Cricetulus griseus: one gene and its partners. The protein of the gene in region 3 purifies or fractionates together with the protein of the main gene of each other region. This does not show direct contact. Links are inferred from orthologs where the notes say so. Each region holds a gene or a part of one and is shown on either strand. Other genes may lie near its edges.

Region 1 (4,201 bases), on a different chromosome or scaffold from region 3:
ACCAAACTGTTCTAGTTAACTCTGTCCCTTTTTCAGTGTACCCAACTTGGGCTCCGAGCCCATTAGTCAAGTCACTTAACTTCCGAGTGTCACACCTTTCACTTGCACACAAGAGGAAGCAGGGTAACACCTCCATTTTCATGCTGCTGCTCAATAAAAAGCACACATCAAGACCCACCATCTGGCCTACACAAGTATTCAGGGTTTTCTCCTTTGTTCTCCCAACTTCAACTCTACCCACCAAGCAACATAATACTTGGACTATTCATGGATTCAGGTCCTAAACCTCCAATACTTAGCTGCTATCATCAAGTTTTGACACCAAATTCCAGCCTGAACAGAGGAACATTTAAGCATATAATGTGCAGAGCCAGAGCGTGGCAGACTAGTCAGTAAAGCCACAGCATTACTTTGGAGGTCAGAGGATCTCTTTCCTACCTAGTGCTCTGCCTTCCTAGTGCTTGGATTAAAGGCATGTGCCACCATGTCCAGCATTAAACTTTTTTAAGGTTCATTTTTGTTGTCTATATGGATATACCATCTTACAAATGAAGTTCAGAGGCTACTTGTAGGAATTTTTACTTCTACCAGCCAAGGCTACACAGTAAGACCTTGTCTCCAAGTTATTGGGTTTTCTGTTTGGTTCTGTTTTTATTTTTCGAGGTTTTTCTCCCAGGGTGGTGTTGATATACACCTTTAATCCCAGCACCAGGGAGGCAGAGCAGGAGGATCTGAGTTGAGGCCAGCCTGGTCTATGGAGTTCCAGGACAACCAGGGCAGTTAGAGACCCTGTCTCAAAACACACACAGTTTCTCTATGTAGCCCAGCCTTTCTATCATAGTCAGAGACATGGAATATGACCCCAGGTAGGAATAAAGCACCAAAGAAAGATCACATGACACTGAAGCACAGATACGACAAGGTGTAGCTTTTAAAAGGAAGATTTATTTGACAAGGTTCACTTAGCGCAATACACCTAAAAGGAAATCACAATACAATGAAAGACTTAAATCAAGGCCTCAGAATTTCATACAAACACCAAGACCAAAAATCCTAAAGTAATGGTATTGCGTCTCAAAATTTCTCCATCAACTTAAAAAAAAAGAGAAAAGCTTTAAACTCACGTGCCTTACAGGTTTATCAAATGAAATTAGAACAAACATGCCAAATGTTTCACTTTTAATTGTAGACGCAGCTCCTATAGAGTTTTACAAAAAAGCATGTCTTTTCAACATGCATCAACAGTGTTCAATGTAATGTATGTATAAGAGCAACATTTAACATAATTCAACTGCTTTAACCTAAATACGCTTACTGCTTACACACATCCTACAGTAACTAGAGAAAAGCTGGGAATTGTTTAACAGTTATAGTTCACTGTATCATCATCCTAGGTGACTATATTCAACATTGAACCTTAGTCCTTTGAGTGATGCCAATGTTCACTTAAGAGAGTAGACATAAATCACAAGGCTGGATTGCAAAACTGTTAAACTGAAGGTTTTTTTTTTTCCATTAAAAAAAAAAATGACCAAGAGTCAGTGATCAATCAAAATCAATTACATTCCCCATCCACCACTCATACTGGACATGCTAGACATCCCTCCCATTCCATTCACGCCCATAGATGCACGGCTTCCGCTATTGTAGTAGCTGCTGTTCACTGCTCCTTGGCTACCTGCAAAGAGATCAGTTTGACAAGTTAGGAATAGTGTCAAATAACCAATCAAATAAAATAACATTCCAAGAAAAAGTTTAAAAGGTATACGAGTGCAAATGGCTGCTGTCCAATTGGCGAGAAGCATGTTGGGAAAAGGGAATCCCGACTCCAAACAAATTTCAATTAAACCCTTTTCTCTGCAGTACCAACTTGCCAGACTCTTGTGCTACCATTTTAAGTGGATTCTTCAGGATCAACGTGGAAATTTTAAGTTTAAAGGAAAACTAGTGTTTTTCAAAAATTGCAAAATTACTTCCAAGTTTTTAAAGCTAAACAAAGCATTTAAAAATTTACCATAAACATGTACTATGTGTTCATCGAATGATGTGTATGAATAGGGAACACAGGGGAAGTCTTTTGCTTTGCCTATTCATGGTGGGCAAGAAGTGAGAGGACAAAAGTTGGACTAAAGGCAACTCACTGTGCCCAAAATGGCAGCCTCCAGGGAGTTAAGTCAGAGTCACTGACTGCTATAGAAAAGTGTTATCACAACATTATCAGTCTTTGCTATTGGGAATTTAAATTATTTTTTGAGAAAATATTTACCTATGCAATGTTTGATTGAAAATCACTGGAGTTTTCCTGTAAAACTTGGTCTGCAAAAGGATTTTGTAGGGTAAGACTATAATACCAAAATCACCATTCTTTAGACCAATTGAAAAAAAAATAAATAAAACCATCCCTAGGTTAACCGACTAGTAAAATACTGTCCTGAACCCAACCACCAGCCTAATATTTAAAAATTACCCTCCAAAAAATTTAATGCTACAACAGAAAAGCAAGCTAATTATTTTAATAAACGAACAGAGATGTTTTCTGCCTTGACAATATTCCAAAATTGCAATTACTAGGATACATCCCCCTCCTCCCAATGACTTTCTGTAAATTATACTAATAAGAATTGTAATAAAAACCATATTAATACCCCTCCTCTTTTCAAAAGGAGCCCAACTAGACAAACCAACCTAAAACTTACTCTAGGTATATAAAAAAAAACTTACCATATCCACTCATGCTGCTCTGGCCACCGTAGCCACCTCCATAACCACCACTCAGTTGCTGGCTGGCTGGGCCACCGTAACTGGACTGGTTTGCTGTTAAGTTAAGAGAACATTAGAGCTTTGCTCCTTATCCAATGTGGTACCTGGTGGTACCGGGCTTGTAATTCTATGTCTACGATTTTCCAGTCTTGATCTTAAATTACTGTCTCCTGCCTACTGTCTATGACAAGACTGTCTATGACCATATTAACCTTTATATTCATCATTTTAGCTAGCTCAGTGTTTATAAACCAAAGGGTTGAGGACTAAGTACACATGATTCACTAAGTAGAGGCATTTTTTGATCATCTTATGAAACTTTAGTGGGGTTTCCCCCTTAGCTTGATATATATTTAGATATTATACAGGTATCAATGAACACCTAGTTAATTATGCCCAAGTAATTATGTTACCAAATAAAAATTTTAAACCTTATGTTTGTTAAGTATTTTAAACTTACACTTTATAGACAGATACTATAACACAATCAATAGTCCCCTCCCCCAAACAAAAGTACTTGTATCTACTTTAAGTAAGCTATCCTAAGCAGGTTTATGTTATTTACAAGATTTTAGTAATTTAATATAGTAATTACAAAATTTACTTTGCCTGAATTTGTTTGCTAACTTAATATTTTTATTGTAGCTTAAAATTATTATGGTAACAAACTCTTATGCTAATTATAATATTAACTTAGCTTATTAACTACTTATACAGATATAAATGTTTTGGTTTTTAAAAAAACTAACGATATTTACACAAGCCCATGCCTCCCATCATTTGGCTACCATAAGCACCACCGCTTGCTCCTGCTGTAGAATTCAAGAAGAGTTCTACATATCTGTGTTCTGAAATGAGAGAAAAGGCATACAAGGTTAGCTTAAAAAAAGACACTAAAGTGATATTTACACAAACCCATGCCTCCTAGCATTTGGCTACCGTAAGCACCACCGCTTGCTCCTGCTGTAGAATTCAAGAAGAGTTCTACATATCTGTGTTCTGAAATGAGAAAAAAAAAGTTTGAAAATGTTTGTTGGTAAAAGAAAACAAGCAATTTAAAAGTAACTTGTGAATCACAAATGTTTTGGTGAAAAGAAAAAGAAAACTCCCATGTTAGAACTTAAGAACTAGCTTTTAAAACACTATCAATTAAGGAAAAATTTACAAATCCCAAAATGTCAATACATCCAAGCTACCCAACTAATGAAATCTCTCCTATATATCCTTACTATTCTATTCCTCTACTCTAAATGCTTGTCAATTAACTACCTGAGGTTACAAGCACTTTAATTACACTTACGCATATTTGCTTTGTCTTTTGACATAGCTGCAACAGCATCTTCATGGGTTGCAAACTCGACATCTGCTTCACCAGTTACTCTGCCATCGGGTCCAATCTCAATATGTACTCTCACAGGGTTGAGTGGTGAAAAAAACTAAA
Region 2 (3,995 bases), on a different chromosome or scaffold from region 3:
CAATGAAAAGTAGTAACAATTCTTCAAAAACTTGTTTCTCTTCTTTGGTCTCATTTTAGACCTTCTAACATAGTTTTTTTAAGCCTTTTTTCTTTAAGTTTTTTTCCCCCCCTCTATCAGCCTTAAGCCTAAGAAACAGGCCATGCAAATGCACTATCTGCCCTTCGTGCCTAAGTGACCACAAAACACAAGCTTTATCTCTGAGCAGCAGAGTGATTCCACCAACGCTTATTCTTTCAAGCCCTGGCTGACCATGCATGCAAATTCAAATGTTTTACTCACAGGTAATAACAAGAGCCTCATGACTAGCAAATATAGAATTCAGGAGGCCCACTTACCTACTTTCTCCTAAACTAAAGTTGAAACACTCCAAAGTATATCTATCACCAGTCACTCTCAGCTCCAATATAATCAGTTATTTATCATGAACTCTAAATGGAGTGGCTAGACCACCAACACCAAGTATAAATAAATGTTTAAGTTCTCCCTTAACTAACTACTTCAGGAATGGTAAAATACAGACAGCGGCAGTAAAATTGACAACATCCTGGTGACTCACCTAAGTAAAGCAGACAAAAAGTAACAACAGCTTTGGTGGGGGAAAAGGCCATGACCCAAGTCTTTAATTCACATTTCAGTATTTCAGAATTTCCCTAATGATGGATCTTAAATCTTAATAGTTCACAAATACAGCACTCAGACTTCATATCTCCAGAGGAAGGTGCCCAGAGGCAATCAGGTCTCAGGGTATCTTTAGGTGGGAAAAATGACAAAGATTTCTCTGTAAGAAACCCTGTCAGTTTTCTGACTTCACTGAAACCCCTTTAAATGTTCAATCATCCCTAAAACTTTCTATGAAATCTAGGACAGGAAAACACTCATCTCTCTCATACAACACAGAGGAGGGCAAAGGGTGAGCAAGAACTACATTGCAACAGCCAAATTTATTCACCAAGAAAATGGATCTGAAAATTCAGTTTAACATGGATTTGTACAAAACTGTGGTATTTCTGTGTCTTCTCAAGGTATACTGTGCTGGACTTTTATGGACTGAAGTATTCCCCATAATGAATTAAACTCTATATAAAAATAAGTTACCCCATCTCTGAGTGGTGGAACCACTCCCACAAATCTAGGGATACTCACATTCCATATCCCAGACAACATATCCAATTCTTGGACTTGGGAAGCATAAAACTGTTCTCACTTTGTGGGAAATAAAGAGCAGTGCTTTGGGAAAGCTGAAGAATAATTTTCCCCACCCCAAACTACTTAATACACTCACACACATGTGCTCTCTCGAACACATATACCCATTTATATAAAGGAAGTTTTCCCTCCTAGACACTATGGGCTGCAGCCTCCCTCAGGCTGAGAGTCTGCCTGTTTATTGCACGGGACTAGGGAGTAACATGCTCTACAAGGCTCCTTCCTGTGCTCTCACAATACGGAGGCAGAGGCAAGCAGATTCTTGCAGGTGGAGGGCTATTTTTTTTTTTTTTTTCTGAAATCCATTCTACTCTGAGGCATTCTCAGGTCCAGGGGCTGGGAGAGGCTCAATGGGCACAACATGGTGGATGACTTGATGGTCCCAGCCAACTGTGGTAAGGAGGGAGTGGTTAAGTGGAGACCACGTAGCATCTCTCACGAAGTCTCTGTGGGCTCGACTTCTAAACCTGGAACAAAAGTGGGTGTGTGGTAAGAGATAACACAAAAACCGAGGTGGGAAGAAGACAGAAAGAAAACCTAACATAATCAGGACACATTGTTTTTAAACATTTCACCATTTGTACAGCTTATCACCAGGACAGTGGATGTTCAATCCAATCCAGTCTACTTTCCTAGGGGAAGAAATAGTATGCAGAGCAAAGAAGTAGTATATCTACAACCAAGCAGGAAGTCATAGCAGAGAGAGATGTACACCGGGGTCTTCCTTCCCATGCCTTTCTCTCTATAGCAGGTTTCACTTCACAGCAGGGGTTCCCTCCGTGAAGCTGGGATGCTAGCTAGACTTAGCCTACAATCAGACTGCTTCCAGTGTTCAGTCTCTGCAGACACACAGACACAAATGGAGAGAACCTCTACAGACAAAGATGGAGAATTTTCTTCTATTTATTTCTAATAATGTGTAAGTGGGTATGTGCACCCAAGTGCAGAGGCCCACAGAAGCAGAGGCATCACATGCCTTCGATCTGGAGTGACAGACAGCTGGGAGCAGACGGATGTGGAAGCTGGGAACAAAAGGAAGTATTCTTAACTACTGAGCTTTTCTCCAGTCCCAACAAAGGAAGAATTCTACATGCAAGTTCCTGAAGACAAAACAGACCTGCTTGCCCATTGGTCTTGATGCCTGATTCCTAACCACAGGGTTCTACTTCAAACTTACACCTCAGAAAGGCTTGAATCCAGCACAGCAATTGAGCAGTCTTCACTGAGAGAGGCCAGAAAGGGAGCACTAGGAGAGGGAACAAAGGGGAGAGAAGATAAAGCCTAGATTCCATAACCAAAATCTGACTGCACCAGCCCCAAACTCACCATAAACTGAGCCAGGGGAAAAGGCAGCCTGATACCCACCTTTGGGTTAAGGTCTTCCTGCCATTATAATTCCAATAAAAATGGAACAGAGACAGTACTCATAGAAACCACCCTGGTAACCAACTACCCAATGGGTCCCTCTCTACATTAGCAATTACCCAGAATCAGGCTCCTTAAGCACATGGTGCCAGAAGCCTAACATCAATCAAGCTGTGTTGAACAGGTATGAGATCACATTTCAGCTGTTTTTAGACTATGCAACCCTAATAAGAACTGTACTGACTAGCTTAGGAAGACCAAGCTCGAGTACTTACATTGTTCCATCTAAGGAACAATGTAACCAGCTAATGCTGTGCCAATAGATACATTCCTTATCACTCCATTCCTACCCCTCACCACTGGCCCAACCCATCCCTTCCAAACCCCTGATGACAAACAGTACCTGTGTGGAGAGAATACCAGCCTAGTGACACACTGGGAGTGCACAGCTGAGCTGAGGGTACTGCTTGCATTCTTGGTGTCCACAAGAGAGACAGATCCATTCTCATCACCTGTTGAAGAAACAGCATGTTACCATGGTTAAGAACATACACTTCAGGCTGTCCACAGTCAAGCACGCCTTTAATACTAGCATGCAGGAGGCAGAGGCAGGAGGATCTATCTGAGTTCAAGGCCAGCCTGATTTAAATAATAAGCTCTAGAACAGCCAGAGCTACATAGAAAGACCCTGTCTTAGGAGAGAAAAGAACAACAAAAACCTTAGGCTTTGATATGCCAGTCCTGGATTTGCATGAATCTTAGTTCCTCGAGATATGGACAAGTTCACCACCCAGAGCACCAGTTTCCTTTTGTAAGGTAGGATAAGCAAGTTACTGTGTGCTGTGACAATTACTGGATACTTATTACTTTAACTACAAGCTGTTACCATATGCAGTCATACCCACATAATTCCCTAAACAGCAAAGCTGCTTGCTAAGTGGCCCAATGATTTCTAATCATGCCGAGAATAAGGGAGCTGGATCCATGAGGAATCCAATCTACTAGGAAAAAATTATGTCCCCCAAAGCTAAACAAAACTGCTCTAATTCATGTAGTGCTGAAGTGTGTTGACAAGAGTGTGTACACCTCGAAGGTAGCGCTTTCCCATCCTCCCGTTCTCAGAGTCCATATGTCATGCTGCCTTACCAAAGACAAAGACATCACTCTGCTGAGGATGCCAAGCCAGGGAGGTAGGAAGGTAGCCAGAAGCATTGCAGCCTGGAAAGGACAAAAGGGAGGTTTGGAACAAAAGCAGCCACAACCTACAAGAAGCAGTTCTTCAAGAGAAGTCACAAAGTCCTGGGAACACTTTGACTGGGTTTCTTAAATGCTGCTATGGCAATCAAGCATGTCGTCATCCCTGAGCCTCATGACCTGGGCAATCAAGCATGTCGTCATCCCTGAGCCTCATGACCTACATC
Region 3 (4,999 bases):
TCTTGCAGTGGCCAACTGACAGCTGCAGGTTTTGATCTCATCTAGGGCCCTCTTCAGAAGTCTGGGTACCAGGGCCTCTCCATGATCAGAGACCCTAGAGCCAATCTGGACAGCTCCTGGGTCTCAGGGTTTGTAATTCCAGGTCTGTCTATAAACCCTTTCCTCTATCATTTTAACAGCTCTAACCATTCCTTTTTCTTGGCCAGGATTGGTAGCTGTTTCCTGCACCTGCCACTTCTCTGCACACCTTCCCCTTTTCAGTTACTTGGCCTCATATCTAACAGCTCCTTTTTTACATTTTATGTTCACTGGTGTTTGCCTGCATGTATGTCTGTGTGAGGATGCTGGATCCTCTGGAACTGGAGTCAAAAAGACAGCTGTGAGCTACCAGGTGGGTGCTGGGAAGAGCAGCCAGCACTCCCAACCACTGATCCATCTCTCCAGCCCCTAACAATTCCTTTTTAACAGTGTCTCCCAAGTGGTACGTGGGGAACCAGAGTTTTAGTTCCTAAACAGTGAAAGGAACACTTATATCCCCACTGCCAACCAAGTAATTTTATGCCCCATTACTTCAAAAGTCCCCCAGACTTTATTGTCCTCAATATCTCTCTCCAATGGAACCAGTTAATGTCTACAGCTTGAGTCATTAGGCCAGATTTCAACGAGCCCTGTCATGCGCTCAGGGTGTGACCCCTGGAAACTGGAGGTGGTTGTTCTGACCTTGCAGAGGTCCTATGTTGACAGAACAATTATGAAAACACCTAATACAGGCTGGAGATGTAGCTCAGTTGGTAGTGTTTGCTTAGTATGCTCAGTGTCCCAGGCTGATTTTCCAGCACTACATAAGAGCAAGCATGATGTCACATACTCGTAATCTCTGCATTTGGGAAGTGGGGGCAGGAGGATCAGAAGTTCAAGGTCCTTGGTCACAGAGTGAGCTCCTGGGCTACAAGAGACCCTGTCTCCAAAACTACAATTAAAGGCAACAACAATAACAAAACCGCTGGGCGCTGGTGGCGCACGCCTTTTAATCCCAGCACTCAAGAGGCAGAGACAGGCGGATCTCTGTGAGTTCAAGGCCAGCCTGGTCTCCAAAGCGAGTGCCAGGATGGGTTCCAAAGCTACACAGAGAAATCCTGTCTTGAAAAACCAAAAAAATTAAAAAAAAAAAAAAACGGGGAGGGGGCTATGAGAATGAGAAGGGAAGAAGAGGAAGGATGCAGAGGTCATGAGGGAGCAGAAAGGTTGAATCAGGTCAAGAAGAAAGGGTATGTGATAGGTAGGGTTTTAGTTGGGGGCGGTGGTAGGGAAGGGAGGGAGGGAGAAGGGAACTGGGATTGTCATGTAAATCAATCTTGTTTCTAATTCAAACAAAAAATGATTAAAAACAATAACAAAACCACCTGTTAGACTGCAGAAGTAATGTTTCTCTGACTTAAATTCATTTTATTTTTTAAAGTTTTTATGTATTTATATATTTACATCTATTTGCTTGTGTGTGAATGTACGAAGAGGAGGAGGTGTTGGATCCCTTGGAGAGGGAATTGCAGGTGGCTCTGAGCCACCTATGGTGGTTGCTGGGAACCAAACCAAACTCTGTGACACCATCACCATACTAGCTCTCCAATCTTACACAAACTTTTCATCATATACCTGTACTTAGCACACACCTTAGTTAACATTCATTATCCAGTCATGACTGGATTTTTAATGATTCAATTCCACCTCCTGTGGTCAGTGATAACCCGTAGCCACAACTCACTGCTGTCCCCCAAGGTGTTGGAGCAAATGGGTGCAATACAGCCTTTTCCTATGACCCCAGAGCTTGGGCCCTAGAGCAGGCCTTTTACCGGAAGAGGTCTATGTTCAAGCAAGTCGGTGAACGTGAGAGGCAACATTACTCTATTTCTGACCTCCAGGCCTTTGGTGGGGCTCTGCCTTCTCTAACAAAATTAGTGCCCTCCTCTTCTGTAAAACTAATATTCTTTGCGAATCTATTGCTACCGTTGCTGCAAGTACCATCTTGGATGCTCAAGCAAGCATTCCATTCATGCACCCAATTAGCATACACATTGTGTCAGGCACATGGTGTGTCTTCTGGTAAACAGGACGCCTATTTACAGTCAAGCTTGTTGTAGATGGAGATGGTCGCTGCTTAAGGGCAGGTCATAGGAAACCGCTGTATTGCACCCACTTGAAAAAGAAGTTTCTGGAAACCCCGTGTCACCAGGGGCCTTTCCGTTTCATCAAATGGGAAAAAGAACCGGTGACATCTAACGTCCAAGGTCAGCTGCACATCCCCACCAACGGCCGGAGGTCCTCAAGGTTAAAAAAAAAAAAAAAAAAAGTCCTAGCCGGGCGTTGGTGGCACACGCCTCTAATCCCTGCACTCGGGAGGCAGAGGCAGGCGGATCTTTGTGAGTTCGAGGCCAGCCTGGTCTCCAGAGCGAGTGCCAGGATAGACTCCAAAGCTACAGTGAAACCCTGTCTCGGAAAAAAAAAAAAAAGTCCGTTTCCTCGTCGCTCCCATCTGACCCGGCCCCCAGCTCCACCTTCCCTCCATTCCTGCCACAGAGGCTCCCGAGCAGCCCCAGTTTCCCTCTTTCTCCTTCCAGTGCCTGCTACAACCCCAGGTCCCCGCGCGCTCCCGCCGTTACGGCCCGGCTCTGCGCGTGCTCGCGGGGGGGGGCGGCGTTTCCCGAGTGAGCGGCCTTCCCGAAGCGCGCGAGCCCCGCGGCTTCCAGCCCGGGGGATCGCATGGGCCCGCGCTCCCCACCCCGTGGCGCTTACCTCCGCGTTGGGGACCTGCCGCGCACTTGGCTCGCCGGACCCCTGACCGGTGGCCTCCTGAGGGTCCATGCCCCGCCGCCCACAGCTAGGCGACCGGGGACACTCCGGCACGTGACGGCCCACAAGCTGCAGAGGGGCCAATCGGCGCGGAGCAGCCACCGAGGGGGCGGGGCGGCGCAGGGGCAGCGGTGCCGGACGACACGCCCACCTGCATCGTGCCGGGACCACAGGCTCCCGAGCTCATTCTGACATCTCTGGTTTAGAGCCTTATGGCGGCGGACTGGGCACTGTGCCTTCCCCATCGCACTATTAAATGACCAGAGTCCACCCGAAAGCTTAGAAAGCCCAGACGTCGACACGGTCAGAGCCGCTGCTGCTCCATCACTTTTCACTCCACCCCATCGCAGGCTGTTCCAGATTTCAGGCTGCACCAGGACCACAGCATCCAATAATGAGTAAAATAACTCAGCAGCCTGGAGACTTGTCAGCTTGGCATACTGATCGCTTTTGAAGTCAACGTGCTCCCCAGAAACATTCTGGGTTTGTGTTATTGAACTTGGAAGTCACAACCTGTGCCCCAAGTAAGTAATGTGACTACGTTGGATAACTCTCCATTTTCTTCTTCCCACGATTAGTTTGGCTGTTTTTAATGGCTTATTGAGGATGGATACCTGAACCTGACTTGGGGCTCAGATTGTGACCCCCGAGTTCAGTAACAGTTGGGCAGCAGAAATTGACCAAATCTCCATCTTTCAATGGGCAATGTCTCCAATCTGGTTATTTCCCTGTTGCCTCGGAGACAAAAGTCAGCAGCTAGCTGCAGGTAGAGTGTACATGTGTGTATGTATGTTTGGATGGATGCATGGATTTGAATGACCCAGCTGTACAGACAGCTTTTACTGCCACCCTCCCCAGCATGACTTAAACTCTAGCAACAAACTACTTGAAGGCATGGTTATCAGGAAAGCTGGGATTCCTTATGACATTGTTTGGAACACCAGCATCTTCATCTCCCTTAAATAGTATGTTGCCATAAGGCATTAAACATCTTTTTTTGTTTGTTTTGTTTCTCTGTAGCTTTGTAGCCTATCCTGGCACTCGCTCTGGAGACCAGGCTGACCTCGAACTCACAAAGATCCGCATGCCTCTGCCTCCCGAGTGCTGGGATTAAAGGCGTGCACCACCAACGCCCGGCTAAACATCTTTTTTATGCAGATAAAATTGATTCATATTATGTTATTCTTTTTTCTTTACATAGTCTTTACATAGTACGGAGTATGACCAGTTCATGTGTGTTCTGTTCCGTTGTTATTTCTTCAAATCTAACAGACTCCAAGTCAGCACTGCCCAGGGACTCTTCTTCAATGGCAGAAATAAAAGCTCTTGATCTGTGCTGTCACTATGGTAACCACGTGTTTACCTAGCATTTAAAATATCGTCAATATGAAAAGAAACACAATTATTTAATTTCAGATATAAATTGGTAAATGTGGCCATCACAACTAACTACAACTCTATGAATTGATTATGCATATTTTATAATATGCAATGGGGAGAACTGTATATAGCAATACAATAACCCAAGGGTGGCCAGAGGTCACAATAGGGTGTCTCTCTTAGTCACCATTCTATTGCTGTGAAGAGACACCATGGCCAAGGCAACTCTTACAAAAGAAAGCATTTAATTTGCTTACAGTTTCAGAGGTTCAGTCCCTTACCGTCATGGCAGGAAGCAGGGCAACAGGCATAAAAAGCACGGTGCTGGAGAAGCAGTTGAGAGCGGCCTTCTGATCTGCAAGCAGAAAGGTATACTGGGCCTGGCACCAGCTTTTGAAACCTCAAAGCCCACCCCTAGTGACACACCTCCATCAACAAGGCCACACCTCCTAACCTTTCTAATCCTATCAGAGTTCCCCTTCTTAGTGACTAAGCATTCAAATATGTGATCCTAAGGGGAACAACTTATTTAAATCACCTCAGGTCTTGATTGCTCTCCATCTTAAATGTTGAGACAACATCTCTCACTGAACTTGGAGTTCATTGATTAGGCAATTAGGGATCCTCCTGTCTCCATTTCTCCAACGCTCTGTTACAGGGCTTTTCGCCGGTGATCCAAACTTAGGTCCTTATTCTTTTGTGCTAAGCATTTACTTACTGAGCCATCTCCCTAGCTCCCTAGCCCCTAAGATTCTTCAGTGATGTAGAGAAA

Evidence for each region.
Region 1: the proteins of Coprs (region 3) and Hnrnph1 purify together in Homo sapiens (co-immunoprecipitation; 3 studies listed by BioGRID and IntAct, with this or other methods). This does not show direct contact. The link is inferred for Cricetulus griseus from reciprocal best matches to the Homo sapiens genes COPRS and HNRNPH1.
Region 2: the proteins of Coprs (region 3) and Wdr77 purify together in Homo sapiens (affinity purification with mass spectrometry; 3 studies listed by BioGRID and IntAct, with this or other methods). This does not show direct contact. The link is inferred for Cricetulus griseus from reciprocal best matches to the Homo sapiens genes COPRS and WDR77.

What each region holds. Positions count from the first base shown.
Region 1 is NC_048600.1:64,840,784-64,844,984, reverse strand, and holds the end of Hnrnph1 (heterogeneous nuclear ribonucleoprotein H), read right to left. Parts: intron 4,197-4,201; coding exon 4,061-4,196; intron 3,760-4,060; coding exon 3,700-3,759; coding exon of another isoform or gene 3,670-3,699; intron 3,609-3,669; coding exon 3,519-3,608; intron 2,815-3,518; coding exon 2,722-2,814; intron 2,317-2,721; coding exon of another isoform or gene 2,267-2,316; intron 1,679-2,266; coding exon 1,560-1,678; 3' UTR 926-1,559; downstream 1-925. UniProt on the Homo sapiens protein: This protein is a component of the heterogeneous nuclear ribonucleoprotein (hnRNP) complexes which provide the substrate for the processing events that pre-mRNAs undergo before becoming functional, translatable mRNAs in the cytoplasm.
Region 2 is NW_023276806.1:51,041,918-51,045,912, forward strand, and holds the end of Wdr77 (methylosome protein 50), read right to left. Parts: intron 3,793-3,995; coding exon 3,721-3,792; intron 3,087-3,720; coding exon 2,978-3,086; intron 2,456-2,977; coding exon 2,387-2,455; exon of another isoform or gene 2,327-2,386; intron 2,232-2,326; exon of another isoform or gene 2,095-2,231; intron 1,677-2,094; coding exon 1,517-1,676; 3' UTR 926-1,516; downstream 1-925. UniProt on the Homo sapiens protein: Non-catalytic component of the methylosome complex, composed of PRMT5, WDR77 and CLNS1A, which modifies specific arginines to dimethylarginines in several spliceosomal Sm proteins and histones.
Region 3 is NW_023276807.1:66,984,837-66,989,835, reverse strand, and holds the start of Coprs (coordinator of PRMT5 and differentiation stimulator), read right to left. Parts: upstream 2,943-4,999; 5' UTR 2,860-2,942; coding exon 2,791-2,859; intron 1-2,790. UniProt on the Homo sapiens protein: Histone-binding protein required for histone H4 methyltransferase activity of PRMT5.